2 linked regions of the Drosophila melanogaster genome follow. The gene in region 1 interacts genetically with each later gene. Each region holds a gene or a part of one and is shown on either strand. Other genes may lie near its edges.

What was found. Genes that interact genetically often act in the same process or in processes that back each other up.
Region 2: of GlyRS (region 1) and CG15599, changing one enhances a phenotype caused by changing the other (phenotypic enhancement), as found in Drosophila melanogaster (one study listed by BioGRID).

The regions. Positions count from the first base shown.
Region 1 is NT_037436.4:15,093,018-15,098,555, forward strand, and holds GlyRS (Glycyl-tRNA synthetase), read left to right. Parts: upstream 1-2,124; 5' UTR 2,125-2,244; coding exon 2,245-4,542; 3' UTR 4,543-4,669; downstream 4,670-5,538. Other genes in the region: sstn (stepping stone), read right to left, coding at 1-244; Ctps (CTP synthase), read left to right, coding at 5,334-5,499. UniProt on the Drosophila melanogaster protein: Catalyzes the ATP-dependent ligation of glycine to the 3'-end of its cognate tRNA, via the formation of an aminoacyl-adenylate intermediate (Gly-AMP).
Region 2 is NC_004354.4:15,684,165-15,691,194, forward strand, and holds CG15599 (uncharacterized protein), read right to left. Parts: upstream 4,694-7,030; 5' UTR 4,626-4,693; coding exon 4,599-4,625; intron 4,540-4,598; coding exon 3,487-4,539; intron 3,405-3,486; coding exon 2,865-3,404; intron 2,787-2,864; coding exon 972-2,786; 3' UTR 783-971; downstream 1-782.

The DNA of each region.
Region 1 (5,538 bases):
GCAGCAGCCAGCTTTTTTCGCTAAGACGCTGCTCCAAGGCCTGTTTCCTAGCCTCCAGATTCTCCTTCCTAACCTTTGGATCATCCTCGATTTTATTGTTGTTGCTACTGCTGCTGTGGTTATTGTTTATGTTATTCGTATTGTTGTTGTTGTTGAGATTGTGCATAGAGTTGCTTGTAGTTGCCGCCTGATCTTCATCTTTAAGACTGGCCATATTTCTGCTCTTGGGCGCTTTCAATTGCATCGCCAGTGGTTCGTCGGCTTCGTTGGTGGGTTGTTGGTGCGGGTTTTGGTATTTCAGGGGATCCTAGAAAAGACAAGCAGTCTTCGATCAGTCGCCTCCTTTGTTTTTATGTAATTTATGGGTTTATTTTGGGGTATTCACCCCACTCTGATACAAAACTTTAACCATTCCATTTTTGTTTGCTACATTTTTTTTTTAACATTTTGAAACAAGAAAGAAAATATAACAGAATGAGTCTGTAACTCAGAAGCTGATTTTTCTTAGTTAGTCTACGAAAACTATCTGAATTATTTTCAAATATACTGTATAAATTCTTATTGTATCAGAGCTGTCGAATACCCCTGGATGATTTCGTTCAGAGTTAGCATTTTGAATTAGAGACGTGCACTAGTTTATTAGGATATTAATGCTTTTTGTTGTATGTACAGACTTAGTTTTTGTTTGCTTCCGATTTCCAACCCGTTTCATCACGCACCACAACCACAGTAAACCTTGAAGCGAACCCTCTCAAAAAAATGGCCAGAACTTTAACCCAAAACATAGAGCATCCCGATGAGGTGTTGTTAGGTTTGTTGTGTCCGTGTTTTTGAACATTTTTTTGGTTTTGTTTCGTACAGTCTTGAGTTTGGCCTTCGTGGCCGGCGATGACTTAATATCAAACGTGCAAAAGTCGTTGAATTAAGTGCGCCTACAGTGGATGCTCGCTGAGAGGAACCAAACTGGTTTTTTCTCCGCATTCTTAATAATTTTCATCGTGGGGGTTGGTTTCTAATTAAAGAACCTCCACTGTGCATGTTAAATGATGTAAAATGGTGTGCACACATACACGTACAATAACAAACTACGCTTATGACTAATAAATAAATTATAATGCATACTTTATACAGATCGATTGGCCCACTCATAAAAAAAAAGAAAACAACAAGACAACAACAAAAACAGGTCAAGAACGAAAAACGGTTAAACAAAAACAACTCGCAACTCACCGAACGAAGACCTTTGTTGTTGTGACCGCTGCCTCTTTGGCCGGTGTACGTGTGTGTGCGTTGTCGTAAAAACAAACATCAACCGTTATGTGTGGCAGCGCCTGTGAATGAGTTAATTTTTTAAGTGTTTGCAATAAAGATTTCGGAAAATTGGCAGGAAAACAACATTTGTATTAGCAGCTCAGGTGAGAGAGTGCCGAGAGAGGGAGAGAGAAGCACACCTTTCTGTTTTATCGCTCGAAATGCGGTCGCATAGCGTCGCTGTTGTTGCAACGCCGCGTCCCCTCGGATAGAAAACAACTAAACTCGTCCTGTTTTTCACATTAACCGCTTGTTTTTCAATTTGTGCGCTACGCGTTTGAGCAATTGGTTTGGGCAGCACTTGAGTTCGGCCGAACTAAACCAAAATTGAGCAAATTATATGGGAAAAACCAGACTGCAATGCTGCGCCTACATAATTAAAACAAAAACTAAACATATCGATAACGAAGAAGGCCCTACCCGATATCGATGTACTGGAGTGCTGAAAAACATCATAAGGTGCTGTTATTATCAGCCGCCCTGTTAGGGACAAGTGATCAATGTTGCCGACACGGTAACAGTGATTTTGGGATACCTTAATTTTATCAGAGCATTGTTTTTAAATTTAATTAATTTTTTAATATTATTAAATAATAATTCCATCGCTTATTCAACTATAAGTAAAGATGAAAGAATATGTTGAAACTATGTTGAAACCAAACTATCCAAGACACATTTACCAAATATAGCAAATAAAAAATAAATATAAAACAATAAAAACAAATAACATTTACCAAAGTCGCAACATTGCGCATCACTGAGCAGCTCTGTTAACCATAATCAGTGTTGTGCAAAGACAGTGCTGCAAGCCGGCCGACTAAGACTCATCCAAGTCGAAATTGCAGCCGAAAGTGAAGGTATTGCAGCAGTAGCCAATTGGACGGTTTATTACATAAATTCGCGTTTTTCGGCTGAAAAAATAAAAGCCTCTTTATGTCATTGCAGTTGTTAAAAGCGCTACCCCACCTGCGCAGCGCCACCACAGCCGTGAGAACTCAGATTGCAAGAACAACGTGGAGCGAGCACATTGCCACGAAAGTGTTTTTTAGCACCACTACCACAAAACCTACTCCCTCCGCACCACCACCACCTCCACCAACGCAACCGCAGCAGCCAGCTGCAACCACAAGTTGGGGCACCAAGAAGCAAAATAGAAAGGTAAAACTAAGATCCGCCGCTGCCGAGTTCATCATGTCGAATCCCGAGATTGAGGCTCAACTTGCCCCATTGAGGGAACGAGTTCAGGAGCAGGGTAACCTGGTGAGGGATCTCAAGGCGAAGGGTGCCCCCGAGATCGATGTGAAAAAGGCAGTAGCCGAGCTGAAGGCACGCAAGAAGCTGCTGGAGGACAAAGAGCTCGCCCTGACCCCCAGTGTCGTTAGTTTCGATCGCGCGAAGATGGAGGATCTACTCAAGCGTCGCTTCTTCTACGACCAGAGTTTCGCAATTTATGGCGGCATCACCGGCCAGTACGATTTTGGACCCATGGGCTGTGCCCTCAAGTCCAACATTCTGGCCCTATGGCGTCAGTATTTCGCCCTCGAAGAGCAAATGCTGGAGGTGGACTGCTCTATTCTGACTCCCGAACCTGTGCTCAAAGCCTCTGGTCATGTGGAGCGTTTCGCTGATCTGATGGTCAAGGATGTCAAGACCGGCGAGTGCTTCCGCCTGGATCATCTCATTAAGCAGGCTTTGGAAAAGCTATCTAAGGCCAAGGATGCAACTCCCGCCCTGCAGGCCGAGTGTGAGGATATTATCATTAAACTGGATGGCCTGAACAAACAGGAATTGGCTGGTGTCCTGGCCAAATACAACATCAAATCTCCATTAACCGGCAATGATTTAACAGAACCGATTGAGTTCAACCTGATGTTTGCCACCCAAATTGGACCCACTGGCTTGGTCAAGGGATTCCTGCGGCCCGAAACTGCCCAGGGTATCTTCGTCAACTTCAAGCGACTGCTGGAATTCAATCAAGGCAAGCTTCCCTTCGCTGTGGCTCAAATTGGCAACTCCTTCCGCAATGAAATCTCACCCCGATCGGGATTGATCCGTGTGCGAGAGTTCACCATGGCAGAGATTGAACATTTCTGTGATCCCGTGCTCAAGGACCATCCCAAATTTGGCAACATCAAATCGGAAAAGTTGACCCTTTACTCGGCGTGCAACCAGATGGATGGAAAGTCTGCCGCTCAGGTGCAAATCGGCGAAGCAGTGGCATCCAAACTGGTGGCTAATGAGACACTTGGTTACTATATGGCCCGCATTCAGCAGTTCCTGTTGGCCATTGGTATCAAACCGGAGTGCTTGCGATTCCGGCAGCACATGTCCAATGAGATGGCTCACTATGCATGCGATTGCTGGGATGCCGAAATTCTTACCTCCTACGGATGGGTGGAGTGCGTAGGATGTGCGGATCGCAGTGCCTACGATTTGGGACAGCATACGGCCGCCACAGGTGTGCGTTTGGTGGCCGAGAAGCGTCTGCCGGCTCCCAAAACGGTCGAGGTCAGCGAGATTGTGCCAAACAAGCAGGCTCTCGGAAAGACCTTCAAGAAGGAGGCAAAGAACATCACGGATGCGTTGGCTAAGCTTTCGCTGGAGGAGATAACCAAGGTAGAGGAACAGCTGGCTGGCGATGGTCAATACAAACTGACCACGGCCGATGGCCAAAGCCACGATCTCGGAAAGGACACCATCAGCGTTAAGCACTCTACGAAAACGGTCCATGTGGAGGAGTTCATCCCGAGTGTGGTTGAGCCTTCATTCGGCATTGGTCGCATCATGTACTCCCTGTTGGAGCACAGTTTCCAATGCCGCGACGGCGACGAGCAGCGGTGCTACTTTACGCTACCGCCTCTGGTGGCGCCCATCAAGTGCTCCATCCTTCCGCTGTCCAACAACACCGACTTTCAACCTTATACTCAGAAACTGTCTTCTGCCCTGACCAAGGCGGAACTTTCGCACAAGGTGGACGACTCCAGTGGATCCATTGGCAGGCGGTATGCCCGCACGGATGAGATTGCCATACCCTATGGCATCACCGTGGACTTCGACACTCTAAAGGAACCGCATACGGTGACTCTGCGAGATCGGAATACTATGAAACAGGTGCGCGTCGGTCTGGAGGAGGTTGTGGGCGTCGTCAAGGACTTGTCGACGGCGAGAACCACCTGGGAGAGTGTCACCGAACAGTATCCTCTGTTCGAACAGCAGGAGGCCAGCAAGTAACTGGTTGATCAAGGAGTTTCTTTCGCTTGGCACGCATTTACAGAGTTTCAAAGTTTTCTTATTTTTGTATAAATAAAATTCAATAATTCAATAATTTCTTATAAAATTCAATAAATATGCAACATTTAATGCTTTGCGCTTTGAAATGGGAGTGTGTTTATCTTCAATATGAATTTGATGTTTATTTTCAAAAAATATTTTTTCTCGGTGAAATTTCTTTTTAAATTATTTAATATAATTTTAAATATGCACATTTAAAGTTGTTTGGATCTATGACAATTCAAATTTACCGGATATTATGATTTATTTACACTTAAAATTGGTAATATAAAACGTGAAATTCCTTTTAAAAACGCAAACTATACACAAAGAGTAAAAATATAAACAAGGGAAAGTAATACGAATTATAGGCCATTTTTTCTTTAGATTTAAATCGCAAGTTTCCAAATAAATATGTAACCAGTCCTCACTGCTATGCTAAAATTACATTTGATTCTTGTTTATTTTTGCGGGAACTCAATTTTAATGCATAGGAAACCGCGCGGTTTTTGTGACGTTTAACAACACACGGTGAGTCACTGGTATTCTCAATGAAATGAGCGGTGGTCATACCATAAATACGTATGAGATATTAAACGAATCCAATTTCTAAAACCACGTGCAGCAAAGGCAAATAAACAATAAATTGTGGCTCGGATTGCCTCAGATTGAGTGTCCACCGCGAATTGAACCGATAACACGATAATCCTCCACATTTGGTGATCCCAAAGATTGACATTCGAGACGAAAGGATGAAATACATCCTGGTAACTGGTGGCGTCATTAGTGGCGTGGGAAAAGGAGTGATTGCCTCCTCGTTCGGAACGCTTTTGAAATCCTGTGGTCTGGATGTAACCTCGATCAAGATTGACCCCTATATCAATATAGATGCTGGAACCTTTTCGCCTTATGAGCATGGTGAGTTTTCAAGAGGTCTTCCCATTATTTTATATGGTG
Region 2 (7,030 bases), on another chromosome or scaffold:
CGAGTAGACAATACACAATGCGACCCATCCATTTGGCTTAGAGTGTCTTAGGGATCGTCGTCTTGGGCCACAGATGCAAATGTCACCCACACCCGACCATTCACATTCAACTGGAGCAGCTGCATCAGAGATTTCGAAGGGACATTGTGCAACGGGCGAAAGGATTTCGTATGGATTGCAGAATTCGCCTGCAATACGAAAGCAACTGCTAAGCCAAATGGGATGGGTATTTGGATTTGGATTCGGAACTAAGAACTAAGAACTTAAAATTTAGAATGGAATGGGATTATCAATTCTACATACGCTGTCCATGAATGGAACTCTGTGAATGGAATGGCACACGACTCAGTCGCATTAGATGCCACCTCCTACGGTGTCGCCGTCGTCTCATGCTAATGAGGATACCTGTACAGGTAGCACCCAGTTGTGCAGGTAGTTAGTTGGCCAGTTCGACTCGTAAATCACAACACACGACGGGTAGGCGTTGGTAATCCTTTCGACACTTAATTAGTTCAAACTGCGGCTAAGCTCCTAGCCTAAGAAGCATTGCAATCGGCATTCGTTTTGGATGGAACCGGACGAGATCTGAAAGAGATTAGGCCAAACGAGATGAGTTCATCGAGCAGTTGTCAGTTGAGTGCATTATCTCACCAAATCCTAGTCGTGGAAACTCACACCTTCGCCAATGCTAAACTTGGACTACCACCACCAGGGGGGTTTTTAAGTAGATTAGCAGAACGAGTTTAGATATAGTTTTATAGAAACTTTTATTTTATCAAAATGTGTGTAAATTTACAAAACACAGTGTGTAAATGGTGGTCAAAGGTGACGGTGACTAGTGATGACTTCGAATTCGATCACAAATATTGTTTGATATTCGAAATGCTTTTATAATACCATGACGAGGTATTTATGATTTGACAGTCTTCTTTTGGTTTCGGGTGGATTCTTTTGATGGATTCTCTCCTGGTTTACTGGTCGGGATCTTCAGCATGCTTGCTGAGTGGCAAGCTAATAACTTCGCCAGGACTGGAATTAAAATTCCATACATTATTTTGAAGGGTTGCTGGTGCTGTTCCTGATGAAGATGAAGATGGAGATGGTGATAGAGATAGAGATAGAGATAGAGATGGAGATAGAGATAGAGATGGAGATAGAGATGGAGATAGAGATAAAGATGGAGATAGAGATAAAGATAGAGATGGAGATGGAGATGAAGATGAAGATGAAGATGGAGATGAAGATGAAGATGAAGATGAAGATGAAGATGAAGATGGAGATGGAGATAGAGATGGGGATGGGGATGGGGATGGAGATGGAGATGAAGATGCTGATGCCAGCTTATCAGCATTTTGCTTGGCCATATCGATTTGCAATGATGGTGATTCGGATGAGCTCACCACATCTCGATTTAGTTTGAAATTATCCTTGGCCATCGATGCCGCTGGTCGCACATTATATGGCAACCATAGGGACGGTTTTGGCAGCGGATTGGATATCGGCGTTGCCATCTTGAGTACAGCATCTAATGCGTTGGAACGCGAAGGAACTTCTGCAGCGGGCTTGGATATCGGCATTGACTCTGCTGCGTTGAAACGAAAAGGAGCTCCTGCAGCGGAATCTGTACTTGTTTGGGTTGGTGTTTCTTTGTTAATTCCATATGATCTGCGCTCGAACAGATTGCTTTTTGCGGAAACATGGGGATTTCTTTTCAATGCGGCATGATTCACAGCCGATAAGAATGTGCTCAACTTCATGGGCTGCTTCTTCCTGCGCGCTTTGATGTTCACTTCCGAACGGGAAACACTTGGCGACGGAGGAGCTCCTGGTTGAGATGGCGAAGGAGTTCCCAGCACATCGGTCAGTTGATAAAAGAATTTGGTTTCTTGAGCCAAGTTCCCAAGTATGCCACCCGAAACGGTTTGGTTAGCCGGTTGTTCGGTTGAATTGGATTGAATAGCCAACGCGTTTTTCCCATTCGAGTTCTTGGCCTTTTCCTTTGCTTTTTCGGCACGCTTCGCCTCCTTTTGGGCCAACTTCGTGAGTTTGATCTGCTTTTCAAGGGCCGTCTTTTGTTTCTTGAAGCGCCTCTTCTCCTTCTGCGATTTGGAACGCTTTGATGGAGTACTAACATCGTCGATGGACGGATCATCTTGCTCATTAGTGTTCTCGCCGTTGTCATCCTCCTTATCCGGCTCTACCAGAAGGTCAAACATGTTCGTCCCTAGAGTTTTCAAATCAACAAATGGCTTTTTTGGCTGCACATTATTGTGCCCTAAGGGTTTTTTAAACACTGGTGGTTTCAAAACATTTTCATTGAGCACATTCTTTTCTCTCTGCGATGGCCCAGAAATATTACGTTTTTTGACCACCACAGGCGTGAATTGGGAACTCGCTGGCGACCGAGGCGAATTGTGCAGGACCAAGGTCCTTGGTGGATTTGGTTGTATAACTTTATCGTATGACCGTTTGTTTTTGTTTATCGATGGTAGAGCAGAATTGCGTTTTTCTGTGGCCATTGATCGACGCTTTGAATCGTTATCTGGTGTCTTTTTGTCATCAGATTTTTGAGTCATCTTATGATCAGCATTTGAGTTCAATGAACTAACTAATCCTGATTGCTGTTGGCGATTTTTAGCGATTTTCAAAACAGATGCTACTGATTGCTCCTCCGCTGTATGGCTTTTCGGTGGCGTATCGTTCGAGTTAAATGAATTACTGACATGATCCTTTTTGGCAGCCAATGGGGGCCAATGATTCATATAGACCTTTGGATTCTTCGGCGTCTGAAAAACAATTATGTACGTAGCATTACATGTATGTAGAGAAGCTAGTGATTAGACATATTTTGTGTTAAAGCTTACATTGCTTTTGGGCGACTCCGAAATTCGTAATGCTTTCATGTTTGCACAGATAATATCCAGCGTAGTTTGTTTTACAGATGAACGGCTTGCATTGGTGTTCGTTGGCTGTGGTACCTGCTCCGGCAAGGTGTTGATGGCATGTGCCTGGTCAATTGGCTTCGGATGGTCAGTGATAGTGGGTTGCTCAGTTTCCGCTTCTGGTGTTGTATCAGCGATTGGAATCTTTGACTGCTGAATATTCTTTAGCTTGGGTTTCGGAGATTTGAGCTGTTCCGTTTGCATAACCATAACCTCCTGCTGTTTTACAACTGAACTATTAGCAATCTCCTTCTGAGGCTTTTTAGCCTCATTAACATTAGCACAATGCACCAAGACAGAGTTTGCAATCGAATTTGAATCATTTTCCTTGGCAAGAGCCACAATGGTAGCTCCAGTTGGTGGTGGATCAACCGGCATTTGTGTACCATTAGCATCATTGACTACAACATTGTCTGGTTGGGCTACAATTACGGGTGGCACTAAATGGCTTTGCGGCATATGCTATAAAACCATGTCATATATTTAAGATTACACACATATATACTCATATCTTATACGATTTTATTTATTTATTTGTACTCACATTTTGGACCGCCTTGATCACTGGCTCCTCCATTGATACATCGGACTCGTAAGTATGTTTCTGACGCTCGACAACTGTAACAGCTTGGGCTGGACGATCAGAATCAATGGTTCCACTTGGACCGTTCAATCTGGATACTGCCACCTCGGGCTCCACCGTGGCCATAATGCAGTGTGGTACCTGGACTTGAGGAGACATCTGCACTGGAGCAGGATCGGATTGCCCCTTACAAGGGTTAAGTGGAGTTGGACGATTTGTTGAGAGATTCTGGGATGGAAGGTTGTGGCCTCCAGCGCCTGGTAAATGCATCCGTGATGGAGCATGTCCTATAGTTTGTGGTGCTGGATTTTGCCGTAACGGCTGTCTAAATGATGGTCGCCGACAGTGTGGGGGTACCTGAACCCCTCGGTGCATCATCCTTGGAGCAACATCAATTTGAGTCGGTCGATATTGTGACGGGGCTTGGTGTGGTAGTGTCTGGACTTCTGGAATCGATGGCACAGTAGCTCTTGGCATTGCGTACATTGGCTGTGCCTGTGGATACTGTGCATACACAGGGCGGCTGCCCTGTGGCGGCTGCGCGGTCATAACATAATTCACCGGCCCACGGGGACGGTTTACCACAAACTGGGGTGGTGGTGGTGGTGGTGTTGGTGGCGCCGTTGGTTGTGGCTGCGGTTGTGGTTGTGGTGGTGATGACCCTTGAATCGGAGGCACCTGCCGTATGATTTGAACAGGCTGGATATTGGTGTCTGATGGCACATATACCAGTAGATACAATTGCTGATTATTAGCCGATATTGGCTCCCGATTGAATTCGCTATTGTACCAACAGCCGTTGCGGTAAAAGCCCTGCGTGTCCCCAAAACGCGCAGGGGTGGTAGTCGGCGTACTTGGCACGGAGTACAATGGCAAATAAATTGCTGAAACATTCACATGTGATGGTTGGTGGAATCTTGGGCGGGGCGCCTGCCGCTGATTGCGCACGCGTCCATGCTCATGGCGATTTTCATCAACGTGCGGTTGCGGACTTGGTGGATTTCGCCGATTTGCCTGGAATTTAATGGCCACATTCTCTTAACGTGCACTTAAACAATTAAATTGGTAATTACGTTTGGATTAAACGCTGGACTTCTCATCTTGTTATTCAGAAAACTCGCCGGAGGGTGCATTAGATGACTTGACTGCGCTAAAGTTTCCGGAAAAAGGAATTGAATGTCATTGAACTGTCAAGTCCACGAGGTAAAAGTGACACAGGTGGCAACGCATTGCAGTGTTTTAAAACGTTGATCTACAGTAAGCTACAATTGCGTTGAACACATTGCAAAAAGTTGAACTATTATTTATTTTGGCAATTGTGTTCGTTGAGTGCCGTATATCCGTGCAATCTTGAACAGATTAACATTTCTTTTTTATTAAATAAAGGCGAAATTATATGGATGATAAAATAATATTTCTTTGATTATTCTTATAAGTTTTTTTGTTCGTTGTAATTGAATGTTGGTTGTCATATTTTTAATAAAATTGAACTTTGTTTATACATTACATAATTACAGTAAACCCTTAAAACACATTAAGTAGTTCTGGATCGGAACTTGTAGATCACGAGATAAGTGTTGTTAACCGATAGTGTCGTGATTGCATAATTAATGTGCACGTATAGAGCAGTCCTTAAGGTCAAGTGGCATCTCAGTCAAGTGCTCTTCCCCTTCACCCTTTCTACTTCACACTTTCGTGTTCTTTTCAACTAAGTTGTCCTTAAGAGCAGTCGCAAACTTTTTTGTTTCTTACTAGTCAAAGCTATTTTTTTAATTGTTATTTTTTTTTAAATCTTTATATAAGAAGTGTCTAGCACAGAGTTTGAAGAATCCTTTTCTTGCGGTAAGTGTCGAAAACATGAAAATGTGCACATGGTTTCTTCAGTTTACCGCAAATAACTTGCGATGTTGCCGGCGTTTTTGCAAGATTTTTGTAGATTTGTTGTATTCCTTTGGCCTTTGGGACCCTAAAAATATCCAAATGACACCAACAAACGCCTTAAGAACTAAACGTTTAACGCTCGCATTTGCATATTTAATTGAAAAGAAAATTACCCAAATAAAATCCGGCAAAAACGGAGCAAAAAGAAGGCCGACAAAAATCGGAATTTCTACGGCAAAGCACAGGGGTGCGAGTGCGAGGGCACGATCCCTGCCGAAATGGCACATATACAGCTACAGATAGAATGCAAGTGCGAGCGAGATGACAATGGAACCGCAAGGCGTGGAAGACGCCGCGACTTTCTACGTGATTAGACAAAGAAAAGGGTTAGAAAATGTAAATTACGATACATATGTATGTATATATGTATGCGTGTGTGTATGTATGTAGATTCCGGCATGGGCCTCGGAATTTCTGGTTCCCGTGGTTCGGGGACGACTGAATCCTAGCCCAGCCCCGTTACATCACATCACATGTCATCCCCGGGGAAGTTTGTCAACCGTTTGACAGCGTCGGTCGTGATCAGGTTCAGAAAAATGAATGTCCTGGGCTGCAATTAAATGTGAATAAAATGTAGAAGTTATCGGGCGCTGAATGTTGGATGGACGGTGGGGGGAAGGAGGGGGGCCTTGCGCGCTTTTCTTAAAGGTTGCGTAATTGATTAGCCCGCGGCGCACGGGACAGGATTTTCCATTTTCCTTCGTACTCGTAGGTGCCCACCACCAAGCGTTCGCATGATGATGACCCATGTCCAGGCGTCGCTAATTGTGACCCAGACCCAATTATGGGAAATTACCATTCAACCGACCCCGCTCTGTCGAGGACCTAAACGGCGGGTATCCTCCATATGGCGTGCAAAGGTGGATCGACCTATAAATATGTATGTTTGTTTAACTAAAAAGTCATCAGTTTATCGGTTCTACGCCCAAAAATGGATATTTTTGAATATCTCGAAGTTTGGGTGGAGTAATATACACTTAATACCTAGCTTAATATTAATATGGTAATATTTAATATAGTTACTTAATATACTTAGTATGTATATCCGTATTGCAGAACTGGTTAAGTTTCAACTATCTCTACAAAGTCCACCATTCAGAATGAGAGTAGAGCGGATTCCAGACGTCTGGTATAACTATTCAGGTATGTACATATGCTAATACACATAGATCAGTACCATGATAACCATGATAACCTAACTGCATACTTTCGCATAGTAATGGCTTGCATCAACGATGATCCGCCGCTACTAATGGCAGATGTCGACGAGGAATCCGAAGAGAATGATGTGGAACCTGAGGACGAAGTTTACTATTACGAAGAGTTTCCGAATATCGATCTAATGGCGGATATGCCCGACTATGAATCCCCGATTAGTGATTCCGATGATATCGACTTATACTTCTGGCGCTTCGAATATCCAGCTCCAGCTCCATGGGATGCTTGAACCACACATTCGGTTTGAAATCGGTTTTGTATCTGCTGAATAAAATAATCTAGCTAGCTGGCATTTGGGAAAACGAATTTTCCAATTTAAGAAAATGGCGCACATCACCTCGCATTC